Stegostoma tigrinum: one gene and its partner. The protein of the gene in region 2 purifies or fractionates together with the protein of the main gene of each other region. This does not show direct contact. Links are inferred from orthologs where the notes say so. Each region holds a gene or a part of one and is shown on either strand. Other genes may lie near its edges.

Evidence for each region.
Region 1: the proteins of ubxn6 (region 2) and nploc4 purify together in Homo sapiens (affinity purification with western blotting; 3 studies listed by BioGRID and IntAct, with this or other methods). This does not show direct contact. The link is inferred for Stegostoma tigrinum from reciprocal best matches to the Homo sapiens genes UBXN6 and NPLOC4.

The regions. Positions count from the first base shown.
Region 1 is NC_081375.1:23,071,905-23,079,653, reverse strand, and holds the start of nploc4 (nuclear protein localization protein 4 homolog), read right to left. Parts: upstream 3,038-7,749; 5' UTR 2,917-3,037; coding exon 2,902-2,916; exon of another isoform or gene 2,321-2,901; intron 1-2,320. UniProt on the Homo sapiens protein: The ternary complex containing UFD1, VCP and NPLOC4 binds ubiquitinated proteins and is necessary for the export of misfolded proteins from the ER to the cytoplasm, where they are degraded by the proteasome.
Region 2 is NC_081383.1:32,184,212-32,191,772, forward strand, and holds the start of ubxn6 (UBX domain-containing protein 6), read left to right. Parts: upstream 1-4,428; 5' UTR 4,429-4,490; coding exon 4,491-4,573; intron 4,574-4,601; exon of another isoform or gene 4,602-4,736; intron 4,737-6,381; exon of another isoform or gene 6,382-6,504; intron 6,505-7,561. UniProt on the Homo sapiens protein: May negatively regulate the ATPase activity of VCP, an ATP-driven segregase that associates with different cofactors to control a wide variety of cellular processes.

The DNA of each region.
Region 1 (7,749 bases), on a different chromosome or scaffold from region 2:
AAACTGGAGGAGCAACATCTCATATTCTGATTCAAAAGCCTACAGCCTGATGGTCTAAACATGGAGCTCACCAGTTTCAATCTCCCCAAACCCCAGCCTCATCCCATGTCCAACACTCCCTCTCATCCCTACCTCCTTGACCTGACATATCCTGTCCATCTTTTCTCCCACCTATCTCACTGACCAATCTCCACCACTGCCTATCATCTGCACTCACCTATCACCATCCCACCTACCTTCTTCAGCCCCATCCCTCCTCCATTTATTTGAGATCCCTCTCCATTTCTGAAGAAGAGTCCTGACTCAAAACATAACTTTCTTGCTCCTCCAGCTCCAGTGTTGTTTCTGACTCCAGCATCTGCAGTTCTTGCTATCTCTTCATCATGGCACACTACATCACCACACATTTTAAAAATGGATGTGTATTTACGTTGCACATTTCACAACAGACAGACAACACAGAGCACTCTATAGTTATTTTAAGTATTTTTTGAATAAAAAGGGTATTGTAATGGAGGGCAAGCAGCAACCAAATGCATGTCATAAGCCTCTATAAACAGCGATGTCATGATGCTCAGGTGTTTTTTTTGTGATTTTTGGTGACAGGTCAACTCGCTTCCTCATTTTGAATGTGCGGCACAATCTTTTACATACATCTGAATAGGTAGATGGGGCCTCAGTTTGATATTTCATCTGAAAGATGGCACCTCCAGCAATGTTGTGCTCAGAGGACTGCACTGGAGTGTAAGAAAAGCCCTGCTGACACTCAAGTCTTGGGATTAGACTTGAACATGGACATTTGACACTCAGAGGCAGGATCTTACAAACTGAACCAAAGCCAGCATTCAAAAACTTAATTCATACATGTATTTCTGGCTACAAAAATCCTATTTCAAATTGTTATTTTTTGTGTTATGTTTTCTATTACTAATCCATTGTAAATTCTTGTGCCGACTTTTGTAACTGTCCACACCATCACACCAGTGGTAGTGTTTGAGTGATTCAGTTCTGTATCTTCTAGTTTCTCAATCTTTAATGCAGACAGTGTTCCAAAGGGGTTCCTTTTCTACTTTCCAATTGGTAATGTTTTCATTTTTAAAACTATAAACATAAAATCAAGGTGTTATACAAATGGACATAAAACAGCTCCCAACCCACTGTCTGGATTACATTCCATAGAGATTTCGTTGTGGAATCTTCAAACTTTTCTGTTCTCTCCAAAAAAAAAATGCAATCTAACCAGCTGGAGTTTCCAGTAGTTCACCTTTCGTTACTGGATTTCACTCATCTCTATCTCCAATCATTGCATCTATATTCAAACTTTCTCTGAAAACTACTACTTGACATCACTGGCACAAAGCTACAGCACAGTGACCAACTTTATTTTTAATTTTAAAACATTTACGTAAATAGCTGGCACTAACTTCCTAACCCACACTTACATCATACAACAGCTGATCACTAAAGTGTCTATTTTCCAATCTCCCAACTAACTCATTTGTCACTACCATTACAGCCTTAAAACTGCAATGAAGTAGTAATTAATGTTTTAAAAAGTAAGTCACAATTTTCATTAATCTAGCACCTATAAAATGCCCACAGTACTACAAAATCATTGTGTGCTTCAATCCAGATAGATATCTTTAAACTCACAAGTTGTGTACAAGATATAATAAAGCATTTACTGAACTCTTACTACCTTAAATAAATATTTACATGCATATAGTACTTCAGATTGCAAGTAATTCATATCATTTAGACAGTCTTCAATTTGTAGTCTCTTTTCAAATGCACAAGTTACAGCAAAGCTTCTTTATTAAAACAAAAACAGGTTGTTCAAAAATATTCAGTGTGTTTCCCCAGCTTCTTCAAATTATGCAGACATATTAAAATTCCCTCCCCATGCAAAACTGCCAACTCATTCAGGGGTCTGAATCCAGAGGGCAGCAGCACTTTGGTCGAGCTAATCTTAGTGTTCATTCAGGATGGGATGAGCTAATTTACTGACCAGGGATCCTGGCCAACATGACTGAATCCAAAGTGTGTCCTTTTCTAAGTGACTGAGCAATTACGTGACCATATAATTTCAATCCTACAGTTAGACAAATTGAACGTCATTGAATGAGCAAGAAGAGCAATTCTGAATACTGACATTTAAAAGTACAAAATCCACAATGGTCGCGAAATCTGTTGCTCAACATTTGACTATGCAGCAGTGTCTAACTGCTGAAAATTGGGCAAACGGCAGAGGCCAAAAACGCAGCTTTGGCTGTGAACGAGCGCCTCATACAGACAAACAATACTGACAGTGCAACACAGAAGGATTAGGCAACTGTGGTGGCTGCATTCTCCAAAAAGTTGTGGTAGTCAACATAATGGACTAGGAAGCAATCACAACTCGATATGGTGCATCAGGCAGAGACTCAGTTTAACTGAGTAATCACTTCAAACCGGGCAGCAAAGCAAATCTACAGTCCACGCACAGACTAAATAATCAAACGTTGGTGCAAGTCATGTTGGAGGTTACATCGTGTCATTTTGTGAGTGGTCGAAAGAACCCCACATCTTTCCCCGGCCTCCAGCTGGCTGAGGCATGGAGGGAGAGGGGAGGGATCTAAACCCGATCTGCTGCCTCACTGCTCCGACACCGGAGACGTGTGGAGATGCTCCATTCCAACCCCAGGGACAGGGAGGGCCGCTGTCGGGGCCTTGGCCTGAAGCTGTCAACCCCCACTCCTCAGTCCGGGCCTGGCAGTTAAGTGGGAAAATCAGGGACCTCTCCAGTCGGTCGTGTCCCAGGTCAGGTAATAAGGACGGCCCACCAATGTTAGGCGGGAGGCCTTCAGGCCCCGAACCCGAGCAGGCTGCAAGAAGCTCGCCGAAGATGAAGCCGTTACTCACAATGTTTTCCGCCATGACACCCCCCGGGAGCGGCTCCTCGGCCTTTTACCGAAATTTGCCTTCCAACTCCTCCGCGTGTCACCACAAAACCCGTCCGATGCTGCACAGCGCAAGGTAACACTCCGTTCCGAGGTATATACGTTCCCCCTTCTGTACAACGCAGTACAACGTTGACAATGCAAAAACAAAACTTAGCAATTTACGTACAAACTACCACACGCACAGTAATTAGTTATATTTGCGCAACCTATCCTAAAATATTCCAGCAAGTTTACTTCCATTTCGTTTCCCCATAAAATTATAGAACAGTTAACAGTTTTTTGAACTTTGATACCACATATCCTAATGAGATGGACAAGTTAACATTAATTTTCTTAAACTTTGCACACCCGTTAAAAAGCAGATCCGTCGGAACATTCACCAATTGGACAACTTTCTGTGCATGATGTAGTAGAAGTGCAGTGTAGTTAACAAGATGTGCTTTTATCAAGTAAGTCCAATATTAGTCAATGTGGGACCAAAGCTTAAAACCGTGTTACAAATACCCAAGATAACAAAGTGTGAGGCTGGATGAACACAGCAGGCCAAGCAGCATCTCAGGACCACAAAAGCTGACGTTTTGGGCCTAGACCCTTCATCAGAGAGGGGGACGGAGGGAGGGTTCTGGAATAAATAGGGAGAGGGGGGAGGCAGACCGAAGATGGAGAAAAGAAGATAAGTAGAGAGGAGAGTATAGGTGGGGAGGTGACAGGTCAGTCCAGGGAAGACGGACAGGTCAGGGAGGTGGGATGAGGTTAGTAGGTAGGAAATGGAGGTGCAGCTTGAGGTGGGAGGAAGGGATGGGTGAGAGGAAGAACAGGTTAGGGAGGCAGAGACAGGCTTGGGGGGGAGGGGACGAACTGGGCTGGTTTTGGGATGCGGTGGGGGAAGGGGAGATTTTGAAGCTGGTGAAGTCCACATTGATACCATTGGGCTGCAGGGTTCCCAAGCAGAATATGAGTTGCTGTTCCTGAAACCTTCAGGTGGCATCATTGTGGCACTGCAGGAGATCCATGATGGACATATCGTCTAAAGAATGGGAGGGGGAGTTGAAATGGTTCACGACTGGGAGGTGCAGTTGTTTATTGCGAACCGAGCGGAGGTGTCGGCAAAGCGGTCCCCAAGCGTCCGCTTGGTTTCCCCAATGTAGAGGAAGCCACACTGGGTACAATGGATACAGTATACTACATTGGCAGATGTGCAGGTGAACCTCTGCTTAATATGGAAAGTCATCTTGGGGCCTGGGATGCGGGTGAGGTAGGAGGTGTGGGGGCAAGTGTAGCACTTCCTGCGGTTGCAGGGGAAGGTGCCGGGTGTGGTGGGGTTGGAGGGGAGTGTGGACCGAACAAGGGAGTGACAGAGAGAGTGATCTCTCCGGAAGGCAGACAAGGGTGGGGATGGGAAAATGTCTTGGGGTCGAATTGTAGATGGCGGAAGTAACATTATCGCAACATTTTAATAGGGAATTTACAAAATAATCATGTATGTATCATTCCTAGAATTGTGTGTAAATTTACCAAAACAGGCCATTCAGATTTATTCCAATGTTTTAACCCTGTACATGCTATGTCTTATCCTACTTCAGCTCACTGCATCAACATATCATCTATTCCCGTTCTGCTCCTGTGGAGTAAGTGGCCAACTATACCTTTATTCCACTGAGTGTGTCTGTAAGGAGTAATGCCCATCATGGTGTCAGATGATACGGAATTGGGCTCTAAATGCATTGGTTTCCCAGGGATGTCTTCTTTACCATTTTCTTATATATCGTTAATGTAAAGGTGGTTGATGTTAACTGACATGGAAGCAGATTACCTTCTATCAATAACCCAGATTTAATCTCAAAACATGTTGGCAAGTGGTGACCAGATCCACAGAACTCATGGCATATGTAAAGAAGATGCTGCCTGATCATAGTATATAAGAGATTACTGCAGATTAGAGATCTTCACAAAGAGGAGAAAATAAAATGTTTTCAGTTGCCATAACTCTTCAAGAAGAAAAATACTCAGCAGTATAAAGCTGAGTTTTATTTCTTGAAGATAGAGAACTTTCCTGGTGCCAGACCACTTGAATGTGACTCAGTTCAATTCATTAATAGGGAGCTACCAATTTGCTGGTAAGATAAATAACACTGAGAGAAAGGCCTTCTCTTGGGCTACTGGACCACATTCAGTGCCTGTGACCAGATCCTGTATTAGGTCAACTAGGACGAATGGTTTAGTTGATACCAGATTGCCATTGACCTCAAAAATATCAGATAAAGACCAAATCAGTGTATTGTTGTACGTGATCAATAGCAGTATTGACACTATTTTTATCAGGTCAGGCACAGAAAACACACTGTTAAATATGATGATGTGATCTAGTTCTTTGATTCTTATTCTAGTTAAAGACACAATCCCATCAAAGGGCAAAATTTATCTGGTAGAACAAAGAGCTAGGGAAGTCTATTGATTCTTCTATAAATAATTTATATCAGCCAGGTGCTAACTGCCAATAGGGAAGATTGAGAGATGAGCTCATGAAGGGACTCTATCAGTGTGCAAGTGTTTGATGGAGCTCTTTTGAGAAATTTCAATTTAATCAGAATCCCTGCAGCGTGGAAACAGGCTATTCGGACCATCAAGTCTACCCTCCAAAAAGCAACCCAGCCAGCCAGACAGCATTTCCCATGGTTAATTCACCTAGCCTGCACACTGGGGGCAATCTAGCACAGCCAGTCCACTTGAACTGTACAGGTTTGGACTGTGGGATGCAACTGGAGCCACCTAGAGGAAACCCCTGCAGACATGGGGGCAAATGTTCAAACTCTACACAAGCAGTTGCCCAAGGGTGGGGAATTGAACCTGGGTCCCTGGTGCTGTGAGGCAGCAGTGCTAATCACTGAGCCATTGTGCTCTCCTCTAAAATTCTGTTTTATATGAGGAAAGGCTGTGCAGTTCACCAGATTGTACTTTGCAAATAAAGCTGAGATTTTATTCTTGAAGACAGAGAACTTTCCTGGTGCCAGACCACTTGAATGTCACTCAGTTCAATTCATTAATAGGGAGCTACCAATTTGCTGGTAAGATAAATAACACTGAGAGAAAGGAGCACCATTTTCTGTCATTGTTTCTTGTCTGTGCTATTAGGATAGCTTCACATTGTCAACAATCCCACCCAACCAGCAATGCTGAGTATCATTTTAGGCTGAGTTGTGAAAAAGGGTCACTGGACCTGAAATGCTAACTCTGGTTTCTCTCCACAGATAATGTCAGATTTGTTGAGATTTTCCAGCGATTTCTGCTTTTGTTGCCAATTTAGGCTGGTTCGATAAAGTAACAATGAGGATTGTCTATTTGCTGGACAGAAGTTGAAAAACACACTGCCCCATTCTACAGTTATCAAAGAAGTAAATGCTGCCAAGTCTCAAGACATATTCTTCTGGGTGGTGGGGTGGTCTGGTGGTTCCACTGGCATGTATATCATGTTTAGTAGAAAATAAATTGGTATTAAAGTGGATACAGAGGAAAGCATAGCCATTCTTTCTGATTCACCACTATGGTCGAAGCTTAAATTCTCCACCTGTGTCCAACTAAACCTCAAGGTGTAGGAGGCATTACAATAACAGTGCGAGGGCAGATGCAGGTTATCCTTTTCTAGAATGGAATGGAGATTATTGATACTGTGTACATCATTCCCAAACAGCATTGTTCTTTATAAAACGGAGCTGTGCAGGTAACATAGAAACTTTTTTATTCCCATGCTGCAGCTGAATTTAAATAAATTCATTTCTCGACAAGAAATTGACTCCTTAATCTGCAAGCCATTTTTCATTGAAGAACCAACGTCCATAGGACCACAGGAGGATGTGGCAGATTTCTCACTTACTTTGAGGAAAGGTAGGAGAAGCAGAGAATAGGATTCACCAAAAGTAACAGTGACCTGCAGCAAAGTTACCTCCATTTGCTCTTACAGGAATGAATGGCAGAGAATGAGACTGACATAAAAGCAGACTATCCAACTGATGAAAAGGTCTGGAACTTTCTACACTGTTTGACCATAAAATTCATGACAATTTAGCCTCTGCTTTCTTTTTTGAGCCACCTCATGTCTGTTGGAAGAGGTGAGGAAGAAATGAATTTATCTGCTTTTCCAATGACCTTGCTGATTACATGCAACAAACAACTGACAGCAGCCAGCAAAAAAAGTTATCCAAGGAGGATGAAATATTTAACTTTAACTTGGATTCAGCCTTTGTTGAATATTCAGTTATTACTAATCGACAAAAGAAGTCAGTTGAAGCCTGAAAGTGAGTCTCACTAGCAAGTCATGGACAGTTGAGAAATACTTTATAAAAGCTTAAATCTGATTATCAAATTGAGATTAATGTATTAAAATAAAGCAAACAGTTCTGAAGAAGACTCATGCCAGATTCTGTTTCACCCTCCACAGATGCTACCAGACCTGCTGAGCATTTTCAGTTCTTATTTAAATCTAAAAGAGATTAGTGAAGTCAAGCCACCTAAAAAGGACTGCCAGACTAAAAGCCTAGATATTAGCAGTGACACAGAGTATTCAAGTAACAGAGCAACTGTCTGAAGGAGTACCCACATTAACTATTTTTCTTATCGCCAAGTAGATCTTTATCAGGAATGTGCCTGTTCCTAAGACTGAACTTTCTGCTCAGTGGTTAACACTGCCACCTCACAGTATCAGGGATCCGGGTGCTGTGGTTTCCTCCCACTGTCCAAAGATGTACATATTAGGTGGACTGGCCCAACTGAAATTGTCCAAAATGTTCAGGGATGTGTTGACTAGGTGGAT
Region 2 (7,561 bases):
ATGAAAATATTATTTTTGACATGATTTGGCATCATGGGTAAAATTAAACATTCGTATCAATGTCCAAACATGCACATAACAACACATATTATGGACAGTAAAGGATAACGCTTTGAACATTGGGACCTGACTGATTTCTATTTGAGGTACTTTTTGTGGCAATCCAGCCTTTTGGAGTTCCAAAACACTGTGCTACCAACTGGGTCAAGTTGACACTGATTATTTAAGACATGGGGTGGCAGGAGTGCACAGGCTTTGATTTATTACAGCCTGTGACATTTTATTATTGAAATGAAATCAGAAATGCTGGTAACAGAATGGCTTGTAATTTTTGTTTTGGGTGATCTGGGTGCTTTTTCTCATTTCATTTTTGAGACTGAAAAGAGTGGTAACTTGAAGAAGTTTAATTGATACAGCTGAAAATAGCTTTATCCACACAAGGAAGTATTTTAGTCAGATCTGCCAGTAACCAGACTTTAAATAAGTGAAAATTACCATTAAAAACTATACAGAACAGTTGCTAGTTTGTTTCTGAGCAAATTACAAGAAGTCATATTCAAAAGCTTTTAAAACATTCTTATTAGTGCCCTTATGTTCGATATAACCAGCTTAATTTTAAAAGACTCCTTGAAACCTGCAAACAAGCATAATTAGCAGAAATTTCTTATGATAACCTGTGTAATGGCTAGTTTTGTGGGTAGGAAAGACTCTTCCAAATCCAGAGGGTTGCCATGGACACTTACATGGGCCCCAGCTACGCCTGCCTGTTTGTCAGTTATATTGAACAGTCCCTCTTCAGGTTCTGCCCCAACTATTCCACTGTTACATCAATGATTACATCAGTGCTGCATCCTGCACCCAGGCTGAACTGGAGCAGTCCATTGACTTTGCTAACAATTTCCATCCCGCCCTCAAATTCACTTGGTCTATCTCAGATACCTCCCTCCCTTTCTTGACCTCTCCATTTCCATTACAGACTGACATTTACTATAAACCCACAGACTCCTGTAGCTGAGATAATGGGAACTGCAGATGCTGGAGAATCCAAGATAACAAAGTGTGGAGCTGTATGAACACAGCAGGCCAACCAGCATCTCAGGAGCACAAAAGCTGACGTTTCAGGCCTAAACCCTTCATCAGATGATGAAGGGTCTAGGCCCGAAACATCAGCTTTTGTGCTCCTGAGATGCTGCTTGGCCTGCTGTGTTCATCCAGCTCCACACTTTGTTATCTTGGAGACTCCTGTAGCTACCTAGATTACACCACTTCCCATCTTGTAACCCGCAAAAACTCCATCCTATTTTCCCAATTCCTCTGTCTCTGTCGCATCTGCTCTGATGAGAAGATGTTCCATTTGAAGCATCCTGGATGTCCGCCTTTTTCAAACAACAGTTTTACTCCTGCCCCTGTCATCCAGACAGTCCTTTACCACACCTCCCCCATTCCCTGCTCCACAGCTCTTAACCACCCTCCTTCCAAACATAATAAAAGAACCGAGCAAAAACAAAGTTGCTGGAAAAGCCCAGCAGGTCTGGCAGTATTTGTGAAGGAGAAAACAGAGGTAATGTTTCATATCCGGTGACCATTCCTCATTGTTTTTTTGGTTTATATAATAAAGAAAGGGTCTCTCTTGTCCTCACTTTCTACCCCACCAACCTCTGCATCCAACATATTATCTCAAACTTCCGCCAACTCCAATCAAACCCCACTACCTGGATCATCTCTCCCCACCCCTCTCTGTCTTCCATAAGACCCATTCCCTTCACCACTCCTTTGTTCGCATCACACTCCCCAACAAACACTTTAACCTGCCCGGTACCTTCCCCTGTAACCATAAAAGATGCAACACCTGCCCACACACACCTCCCTCACCTCCATTCAGGGCTCTACATAGCCTTTCCAAGTGAGACTGAGCTTCACCTGCATCTCTTCCAACATAGTCAATTGCATCCAGTGCTTCTGATGTGGTCTTCTTTACGTTAGTGAGACCAAACGTAGACTAGGTGACTGTTTCACCGAGCATTTTTGCCGGCACGTAACAGCCAACCTAACCTCCTGGTCACCACCCATTTCAACTTCCTGCCCCAATTCTCCAACATGTCCATCCTCGGCCTCCTCTAGTGTCGCAGTGACTCGGAACACAAATTTGAAGAACAAGATCTTATTTTCTGCCTGCATGCCCTACAGGCTGGAGGTCTCAAAGCTAAGTTATACAATTTCAAATAAGTTTCTGACCCATCCTCCGGGTCCCTTTCCAGCCCCACCTCCTTCCTTCAATTCCACCTTCTGTTCCTCCTTTCCAGCTACCAGCCAGATCCATTCCTCCCATCAACTGACCAGGTTGTACTGACTATCAGTGTCCACCCATCACCACCGTTCTGCTTCCACTCGTCCGCCTCTCTTGATCTGCAGCTTCCCCTATCCCGAAGAAGGGTAATACCCAAAATGGTGACTGCTCCTTTCCTCCAGATGCTGCCTGGCTTGCTGTGATCTTCCAGCCTCTTGTTTGTCTGCCTTGGATTCCAGCAACTGCAGTTTTTTTTGTCTCTTCCCAATGTCTTGCTTTTTAAACAATTACAAGCACAGGCTTCACCAACTTCCAGCAAATTTCACTGAGAAAACCAGTATGACCGAGCAGAAAATCTGGCCAAGGTATTGGAAATGGTTAATATATGTTGATGTGTATATGGATCTTCCAAAAGAATTTGCCTAAGTATTACACAGCAGATGTGTCATCAGCATTACAGCCAATTAGATTCAAGGATCAAAGACAGTGCATACAAGTAATTTGCCAAAGGTTAAGTGTCCCATAGGGGTAGGTACTGGAACCACTGCTTTTTTTGACTTCTATGAAAGACCTAGACATGGGCATAGTGGTCATAATTTTACATTTTAAATGTAATACTCAGAAATGCAGTGAATAATAAGCTAGATAGTAACAGACTTCAGGAGGACACATACTGGTGAAATGCGCTGATACGTAGTTCATGCAGTTTAACACAGATAATTGTAAGGTGGTTTATTGTATATATAAAGAATAAAGGGAGTCAATATTAAATAAATGGTGAAATTTTAAAAGGGTTTCAGGAACACAGAGATCTAGCGGTGTACATATAGAAATCTTTGAAGGTGGCAGAATAAGTTGAGGAGGTGAGTTAAAAATCATATGGAATCCTTGGCTTTATTATTAGATGGATAGAACCAAAAGCAAGAAGGTTAGATTATACCACAGCTGCAGTATGAGTTCACCTCTGGACACATTTTAAGGATGATGTAAAGATGTTAGAGATGGTGCATTGCAATTCACTCAAGAGTCCAAGTTGTAGTCTGCAGTGGTGGTAGACTTCCTAAAGTTCTGAATTTGCAGATTAAGACTCAACATACCTTCCATGGCCATCCAGTCATGTGCTAAGAGGTGAAGCTGGATCTTCCAGGTCAGCAGCTGGGACACATTTACCCGTTGCACCACAAGACCTGAGGGCCTGACAGACAGTACAGGAAAAAAAGAAAATTTCAAGAATGGTGCCAGGCTGACATAAAGGACCTTGAAGTTTTAATAGATAATGGGATATAGAGAATGGAACTAACTAACTATCTTGTTCAAAGAGCAGGAACAGGAGCAACGTGCAAAAAGGTCTCCATTTGTGCAATATCATTCTGGGTTAGAAAATTAGTCACCACCCATAATGACACCACCATTTTGCTGAAGGCCCAACACAAACAGCGGTCACCACAGCAATGAAAGACCGGATTGATCATGGATGGCAATAACAATGTACATTTTGACAATCTACTTAATTTCTTTAAAGGAATAATTTATTTTCTAAATAAATTCGTTGTGCACTCTTTAATGGAGGCATGCTTTCAGCATAATGTTTGATGACATTGGGACAACCATTTAATTGAAGAAAAAACATGCTGACAGTTTAGGTATAACCTTGCATGAGAACGGACGTCTAGTTGTCAAACCCCGTCCGAATCTACAGACCTCTGATCAGAGATAATGGGAACTGCAGATGCTGGAGAATCCAAGATAACAAAGTGTGAAGCTGGATGAAGGGTCTAGGCCCGAAACGTCAGCGTTTGTGCTCCTGAGATGCTGCTTGGCCTGCTGTGTTCATCCAGCTCCACACTTTGTTATCTACTGATCTGTCTTTTCAATTCATTGATCATTAAAGGTTCAAGTTTCCAGGATATTCGTTTCGTTTTTCTCAAGATTTGTTTCTCTAACAATTTATTTCCATTTTCATTATTTGGAGATTTTTTTTTCTATTGCTTTGAGACTCAGGAATTCCTAACAGTTTCAACAGCAGGCAAGAAAACTGACCTTGGTCTCTCCGCAAGTTGGGGCTCGCTTTGTTGCCTCGGCAACAGCGTCGGTGCATTGGTGAAATGGTTCGCTTCCGGTTGAGAACCAGCGGAGTTCCGGTAGAGGTAGGGGGGGAGTGTAGATGATGTGACACTGAGAACTCTGGTGACATAGAGGAAAGATGAAGAAATTTTTTGAGGATTTTAAGCGGGATATAAAGTTTAAAGGCGCTGGGCCGGGTCATGCTCTGACTGAGGATACCAGGTGAGAGGGATATTGAGGAGATTTATTTTTGAAGGTTCGGGAATAAGTTCGAGGGAGAAGGGGAGCAGGCCGATTTAGAGCCACAGGTAGGAAGCCTGAAGCCCCAGCCTCACCTCGTTTGAAGTTCTCATTTCAGCGTTAAACTCGCCTCCCACTTGGAAAGGTTAGTTTTCTACGTGTGGGAATTAGTCTTTAGTCTTTCTCACTTTCTTTGATCAATGTTACCTCAGTCATATGTCTGGGTTTCGTCTACATAACACACCCATCATAATGAGGACAGAATGTGACACTATGATTTCTGTCCCTTTAAGCCAATTAAAAGACATGAAACGATAGTTAAACTTTCCCCTTATCCGTCTGTTTCTCCGAGTTACTGATTTTTCGTGGGCTGTGGTTATTGTTTGCTTTCTAGTGCCGTGTTAGATTGTTGCGTTCGACTGCCGTTTCTTGGATTGGCATGGTAAAGACTGTCGCTGAAGTTTTCAGATCACTGTTTAGGGACATCTCCCCCTCTCTCTTTGCTTGGGTGAGATCCTTAATTCATGCTTGACATATGGGCCATTAATGGTCTTACCAGTCCACATCCCCGCCAAAAAACCCTTTTATCTCCTTAGAGTCATAAAGCTGTACAGCATGGAAACAGACCCTTTGGCCCAACCTTTCCGTGCTGACCAGATATCCTAAATTAATCTAGTCCCATTGTCAGTATTTGGCCCATATCCCTCTAAACTCTTCCTATTCATGTACCCATGTAGATGCCTTTTAAATGTTGTATTTCTGCCAACCTCCAACAGCTCCTCTGGTAGCTCATTCCATACGTGCACAACCCTCTACATGAAAAATGTTCTCCCTTAATTCCCTTTTAAATCTTGCCCCTCTCATCTTAAACCCATGCCCTCTAGCTTTGGAATCTGCTACTATGGGGAAAAGACTTACGGTGAATAGTCAATCTATTAACCACATGATTTTATAAACTTCTTCAATGGCACCCCTCAACCTCTGATACGCCAGGGAATATAGCCACAACCTATTCAGCCTCTCACTGTGGCTCAAACCCTCCAACCCTGGCAATATTTTAAAAAATCTTTTCTGAGCCCTTGCAAATTTCATAACATCATTCATGTAGCAGGGACACCAGAAGTGAACACAGTTTTCTAAACGTGGCCTAACCAATGACCTGTACCGCCTCGAGATGACCTCCCAACTCCTATTCTCAATGCAGTGACCAAAAAAGGCAAATGTATCAAATGCCTTCATTATCGTGTCTACCTGTGATTCTACTTGCAAGGAATTATGGACCTGCACTCCAAGGTTTCTTTGTTCAGCAACATTCCCCAGGGCTTTACTGTGACGTGTATAAGTCCTGCCCTGATTTGCCCTGATCGTCCTCAAAATATGTATATTTGATCAACTTTTTGGTCATCTATGCTAATGTTTTCAGTTTGGATATGTAAATGTTTGGCAATTGCTGTTTTTTGAAGTCCTTTGAAGACTAGTAAAAAACATTCAATTAATTCTTCTGCCAAGTCTTTAGACTCAGATTCCCTACAGTGAGAGCGCATTCCATTCGGCCCATCGAGTCTGCAATGACCCTCCGAAGAGCATCCTACCCAGACTGACACCCTACCCCATAGTCCTACATTTACTGTGGCTAACCCACCTAGCCCACTGGAGCACCTGGAGGAGATCCGTGCAGATATGGGGAGAATATACAAACTCCACACAGACAGTTGCTAGAGGGTGAAATTGAACCTGGGCCCCTGGTACTGTGAGGCAGCAGTGCTAAACACTGAGACACTATGCTGCCCCAAGCAAGGTTAGATGCCACTAAGTAGATTACAATGCCTAACCATTTGAATGTTGTAAGACCACTAGGACCCCTTCCATCTTTATCAAGAGGAGTGCGAACCCTCTGTCCTTTCATACAACATAATTTACTTCTTTCACAATTCACTGATCAGGCTCACTTTTTTCATATTAGGCCAATGATCACTTTAACGTCTTTTTAATTAAAAATGCAGAAACTTCTATGATCTGATTTTATACTTCTTGCTTTCTCAAACACTTTTTCTTCCTTGTTATTTTAACCATTCTTTGCTTTTTTTTAAAATGTTCTCTCCAATCTTCTGACCTCCCATCTACTCTTGCAAAATTATACGCTTTTTTTAAGTTTGATGCTATCTTTAACTTTTCTAACAAACCACATATGGAGGGCTCCTCCCCTTGGAATTTTTCCTTTCACATTGGAATGTATCCATTCTATGTATTCTGAGATATCCCTTGAAATGTCTGACACTACATTTCTGTTGAACTGTCCCTTTATCATATTTGTCAGCCCACATCAGCTTTGCAGGTCATCAGTTAACCTTATCTCATTACACAGTATGAAGTCTCATTTAACCTGCTGTCTGATCAGCTCCATGACAAACAAAAACCAAAAGAATTGCAGATGCCGTAAATCAGGAGCAAAAACAAAGTTGCTGGTAAAGCTCAGCAGGTCTGGCAGCACCTGCGAAGGTAAAAACAGAGTTAACGTTTTGGGTCTGGTGACCCTTCGTCAGAACTGATACTAGCTGGGAAAATGTCAGTTTATATGTAGAAAATAGGGAGGTGGGTGGGGTAGGGAGTAAATGATAGGATAGAGCCCAAAGGGAGAGAAAGATAGTTGGACCAACAAAGGAGTTGCTTATGATCAGGGTGATTAGTTATGAATGGGGTCTTGTAGTGACTAACAACAGGGGGTGTGTAATGGCAGGCTATGTGGTAACAAGGCCTGGTATATGGGAGAGTTTAGGCCCTAAAATTATTGAACTCAATATTGAGTCCGGAGGGCTGTAGCAAAACCCAAGTGGAAAATGAAGTGTTGTTCCTCCAGCTTGCCTTGGGCTTCTTTGGAACACTGCAGTAAGGCAAAGGCACAAATGTTGGCCAGGGAGCAGGGTGGTGCGTTAAAGTGGCAGGCAACAGGTGGTTCAGGGTCTTTATTGC